Lytechinus pictus: one gene and its partner. The protein of the gene in region 1 interacts with the protein of each later gene in a pairwise test. Links are inferred from orthologs where the notes say so. Each region holds a gene or a part of one and is shown in the gene's direction. Other genes may lie near its edges.

Region 1 (3,933 bases):
AATATCTGATTTTTCTTTATCTTTCACTAACCTGATTGGTCTTCTCTACACACTAATGTCCCTTTTGTACCCTTGTTTCTAGTGTTGCTGTAGCTTGTCTGTGGTCTATATTACATGGTTGTTCCACTTTATATGTTTGTCATTTTGCCTCCGACGAAGATTCTGCTCGGATCGAAAGCTTATAGGCCCCTTTTGACTCTCTAATTCTCTTTATCTGTTCAAATCATACTATTTTCAGCCTTGAACAGCCCTTTAAATAAAGAAGAAGCTGCGTATATCTCTTTAAACATGCGTGCGTGTTTTTTTTTAGATCTAAACCTATAATCTGGGCATTCTGAATACATTTTTTCATCATTTCATTACATTTATCGATTTCCGTTGCACAATGTGGTACATAATAATAAGCATAACATAATAAAAAAAAGTTAAGCTGCCTCAGATGTTTTATTTTTAGTAAAACGGAGGGGGAGGCAAGCACCTGAGCATAAAATTATTTTCTTTACCTAATTCACACATTTCAAGGACATTTTGTCATCACATGAAAATGGTGGCTATCTTCCTATTCCTCTTCCTAATATGCGGGAGATGAAACTTACTCGACATATTCCTTTCTGAAAAGGGGGACAATTTATAGGGATTCAATGATCTAATTTATTAATCTAATAAGCCTAATGAGAGCAAGAAATTTATTGATATTAGAGCCTGAAAACTGGTTATTCTAAGCACTTTTGTAGTCATGAATAGGATGCAGAGGTTAATATATTTTTAACAATTAATGCGAGCGCGAAAATTTTTATTTTCCAAGTCTTCCTTTCACCTTATTTTAAATAATTCGTCTTCCTCTTCTTATTTTCCCTCTTTTTTCCTCCTCTCTTTCCCCCTTTTTTCTTTTTTTTTTCTTTCCATCTTTTGTCTTTTTTTTGGCTCCGCCAATAGGGGGGGGGGGGGGTCTCGCCCCCTATTGGATCCGGGTGTGAAATGATTTGACAATTGATATATACCAAAGGTACAGTATTTTGAGAAAATGACATTTCTTTAATTTGTTTACCACACGATATGTAGGAAAGCTGCTCGCATATGATCTAATGATGAAAATTCTAATTACTTGTTTTATTCTTTGACGGATGGATTTTTCTCAAACTTTTTTTTTTATTATTATTTCTTCTTATTTTTTTTTCTTCTATTTTTGTCAGGGTAAACTTTAACGTCACCCGCCCTCTACGTTGATGAATAGTACAATTACATGAAACCTGTCAATATGGTTTACGTGGAACAACAATAAATCCATAAATTTTTCTTCTTTTGAACAGGTCTGATCAAATTTTGAGAGAGGAAACACATCACAATGGCTTCCAGAAGTCTAACAGAAGTTTTCATACTAATGAGAAACAATGCAGCGCAGAGCAGACACATATATTCGGACCATGTAAGTACCGGTAGATACCCAAATGTTTTACCGAACGCTCACAATCATATTGCCCGGGCCTGTCGGGGTAGGATCATTCGCGAAGGTGACCGGTGCGGTGGCTGGCTCTCCATCCGGGCAAGGGCAGCTGCACGGCCGGTATGAAAATCGCGTTTGTCTTTAAGACTTATCTTTGTTTTCTTTTTTGTTATCTTCCTGATTCGACATGCTCCTATAAAAAACATATCTCTAAATCCACATTAACTTATTAATTATTTGGTTGCCCAAAAATTATAAAGAAAAACATCAATCAACATGATCAATGACAATGTGAATGTCATTGAATTAGTGCTGTTGAGTGTTGTCGATGGCCTCATATCGACATACGAAGGATTTTCAATGTTTCCGACATTCACGCACCCACATCGACATGTAAATATGAAATAAAAAGGGGTCTAGCCTAAGTCACGAATGTAAAGTTTACCTGAAAAGTTAGAAACATTTATCCACAGTAATTTAATTTTTGGCGCAATTTTTAGCAGCGCATCAAATTAATAAAGAATGCCTGCAAGCTGCGCGGCAGCAGAAATACGTCGGTGCGGCGCGGGGCCCAAGCCTGACGATCATCTGATCTCTGCTCCGTGCTAGCGAGCAGCATTCACGTTCACCGTACCCATGCAATTATCGATGCGTTGATATTGATAATACGCTGCTCCTCAATGTATTACTTTTCACATAGACGTGAGCAGCAGCGAACAAATGTTTTCGTCGAAGTTGTGACTGCTGTAATTGAGCGCTTCATTTCACGAAGTCACAGAAAACTTTCCTTCCTTTGTTTGGATCGCCGCAGAGGTGGTACTGAAATTATCGATCAATTTTTATTATTTTTATTGTCAATTTGAGGAGCTTGCGTTTGCAGCACATGTGTACCAGCGTTTAATACGCAATTATCACTGTTGCAATTGGTGATTCTCAAATTGGCTCCGAGTGTGATTGCGCAATGCTTTCGAGACCGGATCGTGGTACAAAAACTTGATTCTCCAGAATAAATGTGGATTAAATCGGCGATTTTGGAAGTAAATTCACTCTAGCTTATTCAAAATATGTTTTCCTGAACTGAGCCTGTATAGATCTAGATCTAGTGTGGGGATATCACTCGTGTCAAGGTGACTACATTTGAGAGTGTTATGTGCCATGATCGAATGATTGTTAGGGAGCCTAAATTACGGTCCCTTTTCCAAATGTCGATGTCGGGATTAATTTTTATGCGACATGTCGACATGGATTTTCTGTTCCCTACAACAATGAATAAATGAATAAACAATGAATAAAACAAACTTCTGAAATATTAATTCTGCAGCCACTACCACTAAGTTACTTTTACTTTGTACATCTTGTATGTAAACCTTGTTTGCTGTTATTATACTTTGCAAATTGATTTGTGGTAAAATATATATTGTTCTATCATTGATAATATGAAATGATTGAAAGAGGATAAATGAATTGTATTATTCTTGCATTGTGTGGACTTTTTTACTTTGATCTACAACATATAGACACGCACTCATAATGGTGAAGTAAATAAATTATGCATAACAAATCCAGATACAAAACAATGATTTTTCCTTTCTTCCTCTTTGAATCCTAAAACCTAGAGTATGCATTATGTTTTCTCTTTTGCAGCATATTATAGCAGGAGAAAATCACAGAAAAATGGAGAAGAGATTCTGGTCCAATATAAAAATGTGATTGATATAAAGAAATAAAGACTCACCAGGTTTAGCTTAAATATTTAGTCAGCGCACACCTGCAACTGAGATCGAAACATCAAGATGTTTGGAATTTTTTTTTTCTCATTTTCTCTCCATCTATTGAATAAATGCTAGATATTTTTTGCACAGTCATACATTATACATATCCAATATATGATCTAATTTGCATATCAGGATTACTTTTAATATACCATAATGCTCCAAAATTGTAGTTTTGAACATATATGAGATACTTGTGAAGCCCTATATTTGTAGAGAGAAAAAAATGTAGCCCACAAACCTTTTTATTGTACGCCCGTCTTACGGGACGTATTATGGTACCATGCTCGGTGTCCGTCCGTCTGTCCGTCCATCCATTAACTTTTCCTTGTAAACGCGATAACTTCAGTTTAACTTAACCTAAGCTCATATAATTTGGTGTGTATGATACTAGCATGGATCCCAGGAAGCCTTTTGATTTTGAGGTCAAAGGTCAAGGTCACAGTGACATGTTTTCATCGCACCCTTCTGCAGTCCTTTTAAACGCGATAACTTCAGTTTAACTTAATCTAGGCTCATTTTAACTTAATCTAGGCTCATATAATTTGGTGTGTATAATGCTAGCATGGATCCCAGGAAGCCTATTGATTTTGAAGTCTGAGGTCAAAAGGTCAAGGTCACAGTGACATGTTTTCATCTTACCCTTCTGCAGTCCTTGTAAATGCGATAACTTCAGTTTAACTTAACCTAGGCTCAAATAATTTGGTGTGTGTATTT
Region 2 (3,933 bases), on another chromosome or scaffold:
TCACTCACTATTTCTTTTGTTTTTTATTGTTTGAATTATACAATTTTTAATTTTTTACAGATTTGACAATAAGGGCCAACTTGACTGAACCATATACAGTATTAAACAACGCTAACTACACATGTTCCAGGAGGAATTAATCGTTGTTTCGCTTGACAATGAGGAGAAAATTAGAATATTTCTTATTTCACATAATAAAGTGCAAAAGAAATAGTGAGTGGATGACGTCATTTGCATACCGAACTGGATGTGAATAGAACTGTTTTGTGAAATAAAGCGAAATTTTAAAAAGACATAGCTTTCTTATTTTACATCCGATTTCAATGAAATTTTCGGTGTTACGTTTTTTGGATTTTTCTCTTATTCAAATCAACTTTTTGTTGGGGTGGACTTGTCCTTTAAGTAAAACTTTAGGCCTAGACCTATTTTTTTCAAATTTCTATGATATATTTAGTACACTTTAAAGGGATGGTCCAGGCTGGAGATATTTATATCTCAATAAATAGAGTAAAATTCACAAAGCAAAATGCTGAAAATTTGATCAAAATCAGATAACAAATATCAAAGTTATTGAATTTTAAAGATTTGCATTATTCTGGTGAAACAGTTCTAGTCATGTCTTAATGAATATTCATTAGGTGGGCTGATGATGTCATATCCCCACTTTTGTATTAAGTTTATTCAACATTTTTCTTCCAAGAACTAAAACAATTGGATTGACAACTGATTAACTCTAGACTTAACGTGCCATGAACACATATCTGTGCATCCACTGGAGTGCCACAAACACATTTTCATGCAATGGTCATACAGCTATTGTTATGCCTATTGCATTTTGAGGAGTGCATTGCATGCACAAGTGATTCCATTGTTCAGTTCAGCTTAAGGTCAAGAGGTTTAAATTATTCAGGAGTAATTCCCTTTTTTTTTAATAAATAAAACAATTAAATATAGACTCTGAAAAAAAAAGGCACTCGCTGATTACAGTAAATGGCACATTAAGAGTTTAGTGCATTAATAATAATAGTTATTTATTGCCACAACTTATTTCATCATAATCATAATGGAGACACATCATTGTACACATTTATGAAAATATGAAAACAATTATGACATAGGCCTATCCGATTTTGATGAAATTTTCAGCATATTGCTCTGTGAATTGAGTTTTTTTTAACTATATTTATCTAGATAAAAAACTTTTCAGCCCAGAGTATCCCTTTATTAACTGTTACTCATATTTTGTGAAATAAAAAGAAATGCATGTTAAATCTTATTCTTAACCCAAATTGTTTGATGCGCAGACTTGAGACTGAGTCTCTCTAAGTAACCATGGAGGTAGAATGCTTTAACTACTCTCGGCCTCAAGACAAAATTCAAGACGATCTCGCATGTGATTGTGAGACTGACTGAGCAGTGAGCTGATCGACTGGTCTGGCTCTGCCTCTGGGCCGGGTCCCAATAATCATGATAATCAGCTTTCTTTAGTTGTTTCTTACCAAACCTGCAGTTGCAGTTAAGGCAGTCAATGATGATTAAACCGGTGTTTGGAGCAACCCACTGAGTCTTGAATTATTTCTGTCCTCTGAAATGAAGCAAGTGCAATTTAGAATGATGATCTTTTAACTTTTTGTTGCTGAATTAAACACCGGCTGTTATTTTCAAGTCAAATCAGCTGTTTCATCAAAACAAATCGAATCTCGCGCGAGCGCGCGCTCTGGTTAGAAAGGTCATCCCGCGATATTGCTAGTTCTGCATGCTGTCTACATGGGATCGTGGGATGAAGCTTCCGCATCCGGGCGCGGCCGCGGCCGGTAGGCGCGCGCTAGATATAGCTACATAGCTTGCTACGGTACGTGTGTGTAGATTTGGTGACACAACACTGAATGAATGATGTCATTATTATTAGACCGATCTTCAATCATTATCGTCATTGATAGATAGTTTAACTTGAAAATTTCCTTTAAATTCTGGTCGTGAGTCGTCAACATTAACAATACATAATCGCTTCAGGAATGGCGGATCACGAAGCCAAAGCAAATCAGTGTATGATTGATGCTGAAAAGAAGCTGAAGTCATCACAAGGATTTTTTGGTTCCATGTTTGGGTGAGTTGAATCTCTGTCTCTGATTCCTGAGTCTGATTTGATTTAGCGAAGTTAATCTTATCTTAACGTTTCTGATATTGACACAGGTTGACTCCACTAACTTTAGTTTTCAATTTTAGTGGGGCTAACGGGTGTATATGGATAATGGAACTCTTCCCTTGGCTTAATCTTTATTGGCCCTATTCAGGCTATTGATTGGTAACTTTGTCATTATTAATTAGACTTGGAGTGGACTGTTCTAGTCTAGTGACGTGTGAGACTTGAATTTTGAAAGACTGGGCGAACACTGGCCAAATTTGGATTTTGGTAGGTACATGTAACTGGGGGTTGGGGCCTAACGTAAGCTTGCAATGGGTTAGACAGCTGGCAGCCGTCTGTTTCGAGGAGTTTTTAAACATTTTTTTATTTTCTTAATTTCTCCTCGTACACAGACCGACAGACGGCTCGCTATCGTGCAGCCACCATTAGGGGACTTACAATGCAAAATCCCCCCGTCGGGGCTCTTCAATTTTGTCTTTAATGAATCAAACTTTTGAAAATTAACGCGACAGAAATGCAAATTAATATTCTCTCTTAGTCTTGGCATTAATTGCCAAAAACCGGGGAAAATCAAGTTAAACGGAACAAAAACAGTGACTTACATGTATGTACCTTGGCTGTCGCGCTACTTCACTGCCCTGTTTTATCCAAACTTAATACACATAAACATATGGCCATTGAGTCCCCTGTACAGATCGCGCTAGAACTTCGGTCTCTGTATTTAGTGAGTGAAGCCAACGGAGTTCAGCTGAACAACTAACATAACAGAGACCGAAGCTTTTGGTCTAGCAATGGGTATGGTATCTATAGGGTTAGTATACTAATACTAACCTCGCAATACATGTACATGTGAGTGGGTATGGTAGTGAATCGTAATTTGTATAGCCAAACACTTCATGAATTCAATCATCAAACACTATATTTTCCAAAAATTCACCAAACTTGTCTTTCACCATATAAACATACAAATAGATCTAGATTCTAGGCTATGTAGACATTTTGCCAAAATCGTTTATCTTTTATGACTTTTTTATGATATCAGATTCCGATCGAACCCCTCTTCGCATGTGAAATACCGGTATGGTGAAAATGGTATCGTATTACTGAATGTGTGTTTTCTATGGGAAAACTTGAGAAAACAAAATCACTGATGAGCTATTTTTACAATATTTTATTAGTTTATGAATATAAAGTCTTTGAAAATGTGTTTTGACCATTTTTCTGTCTATTCAAGTTCCCTTTGAAATGATTTTGCAAAGTTTTGAGCATATGAAATAAATTTCTGATGCGTATAAGGCGTGCGTCCGGTAATACATTCTTCCCTTCTCTCAGTTCCCTTTCTATGTTCCTTGCCTCCTTGTTCATATGTGCACATCAATCCATGTTCTTCTTCCGTTGAGTACAGTCCTCTTTACAGAGTATAGTCGTACTTGGCTGAGGCCGCAATCACAAAAGCACATGACATTTGGTGCAGTTGAAAAAAACTAAACTATAGTGCAAGTAAAAAGATGCATCTCAACTGGAGAGCTAACGGAGGGTGAGTGGTTCCAGGTGGCTCCTGAAACACTCAGTTGAAGGAGCCAAAACCACTGTTGTAGGCAGGACATTCCACAAGCAGATGGTACTTGGGAATCTCATTAAACAAACATATTTGAGGGAATCGAGAGTTGCTGTCCTAATTTTTTGTACAGGAAAAGAAACACTAGTTAACTTGAGCTCATTTTTCTACCTTGAATTAAATATAAGTGTTTTACAAGCAATAGTAGGTGTACCTCAAGCGATGTTCG

The links.
Region 2: the proteins of syntaxin-16-like (region 1) and alpha-soluble NSF attachment protein-like interact in a two-hybrid assay, tested with the Drosophila melanogaster proteins (2 studies listed by BioGRID). The link is inferred for Lytechinus pictus from reciprocal best matches to the Drosophila melanogaster genes Syx16 and alphaSnap.

What each region holds. Positions count from the first base shown.
Region 1 is NC_087246.1:49,420,477-49,424,409, forward strand, and holds the start of syntaxin-16-like, read left to right. Parts: upstream 1-1,216; 5' UTR 1,217-1,345; coding exon 1,346-1,426; intron 1,427-3,933.
Region 2 is NC_087251.1:20,748,410-20,752,342, forward strand, and holds the start of alpha-soluble NSF attachment protein-like, read left to right. Parts: upstream 1-1,735; 5' UTR 1,736-2,015; coding exon 2,016-2,107; intron 2,108-3,933. UniProt on the Drosophila melanogaster protein: Required for vesicular transport between the endoplasmic reticulum and the Golgi apparatus. Also between the endosome and phagosome.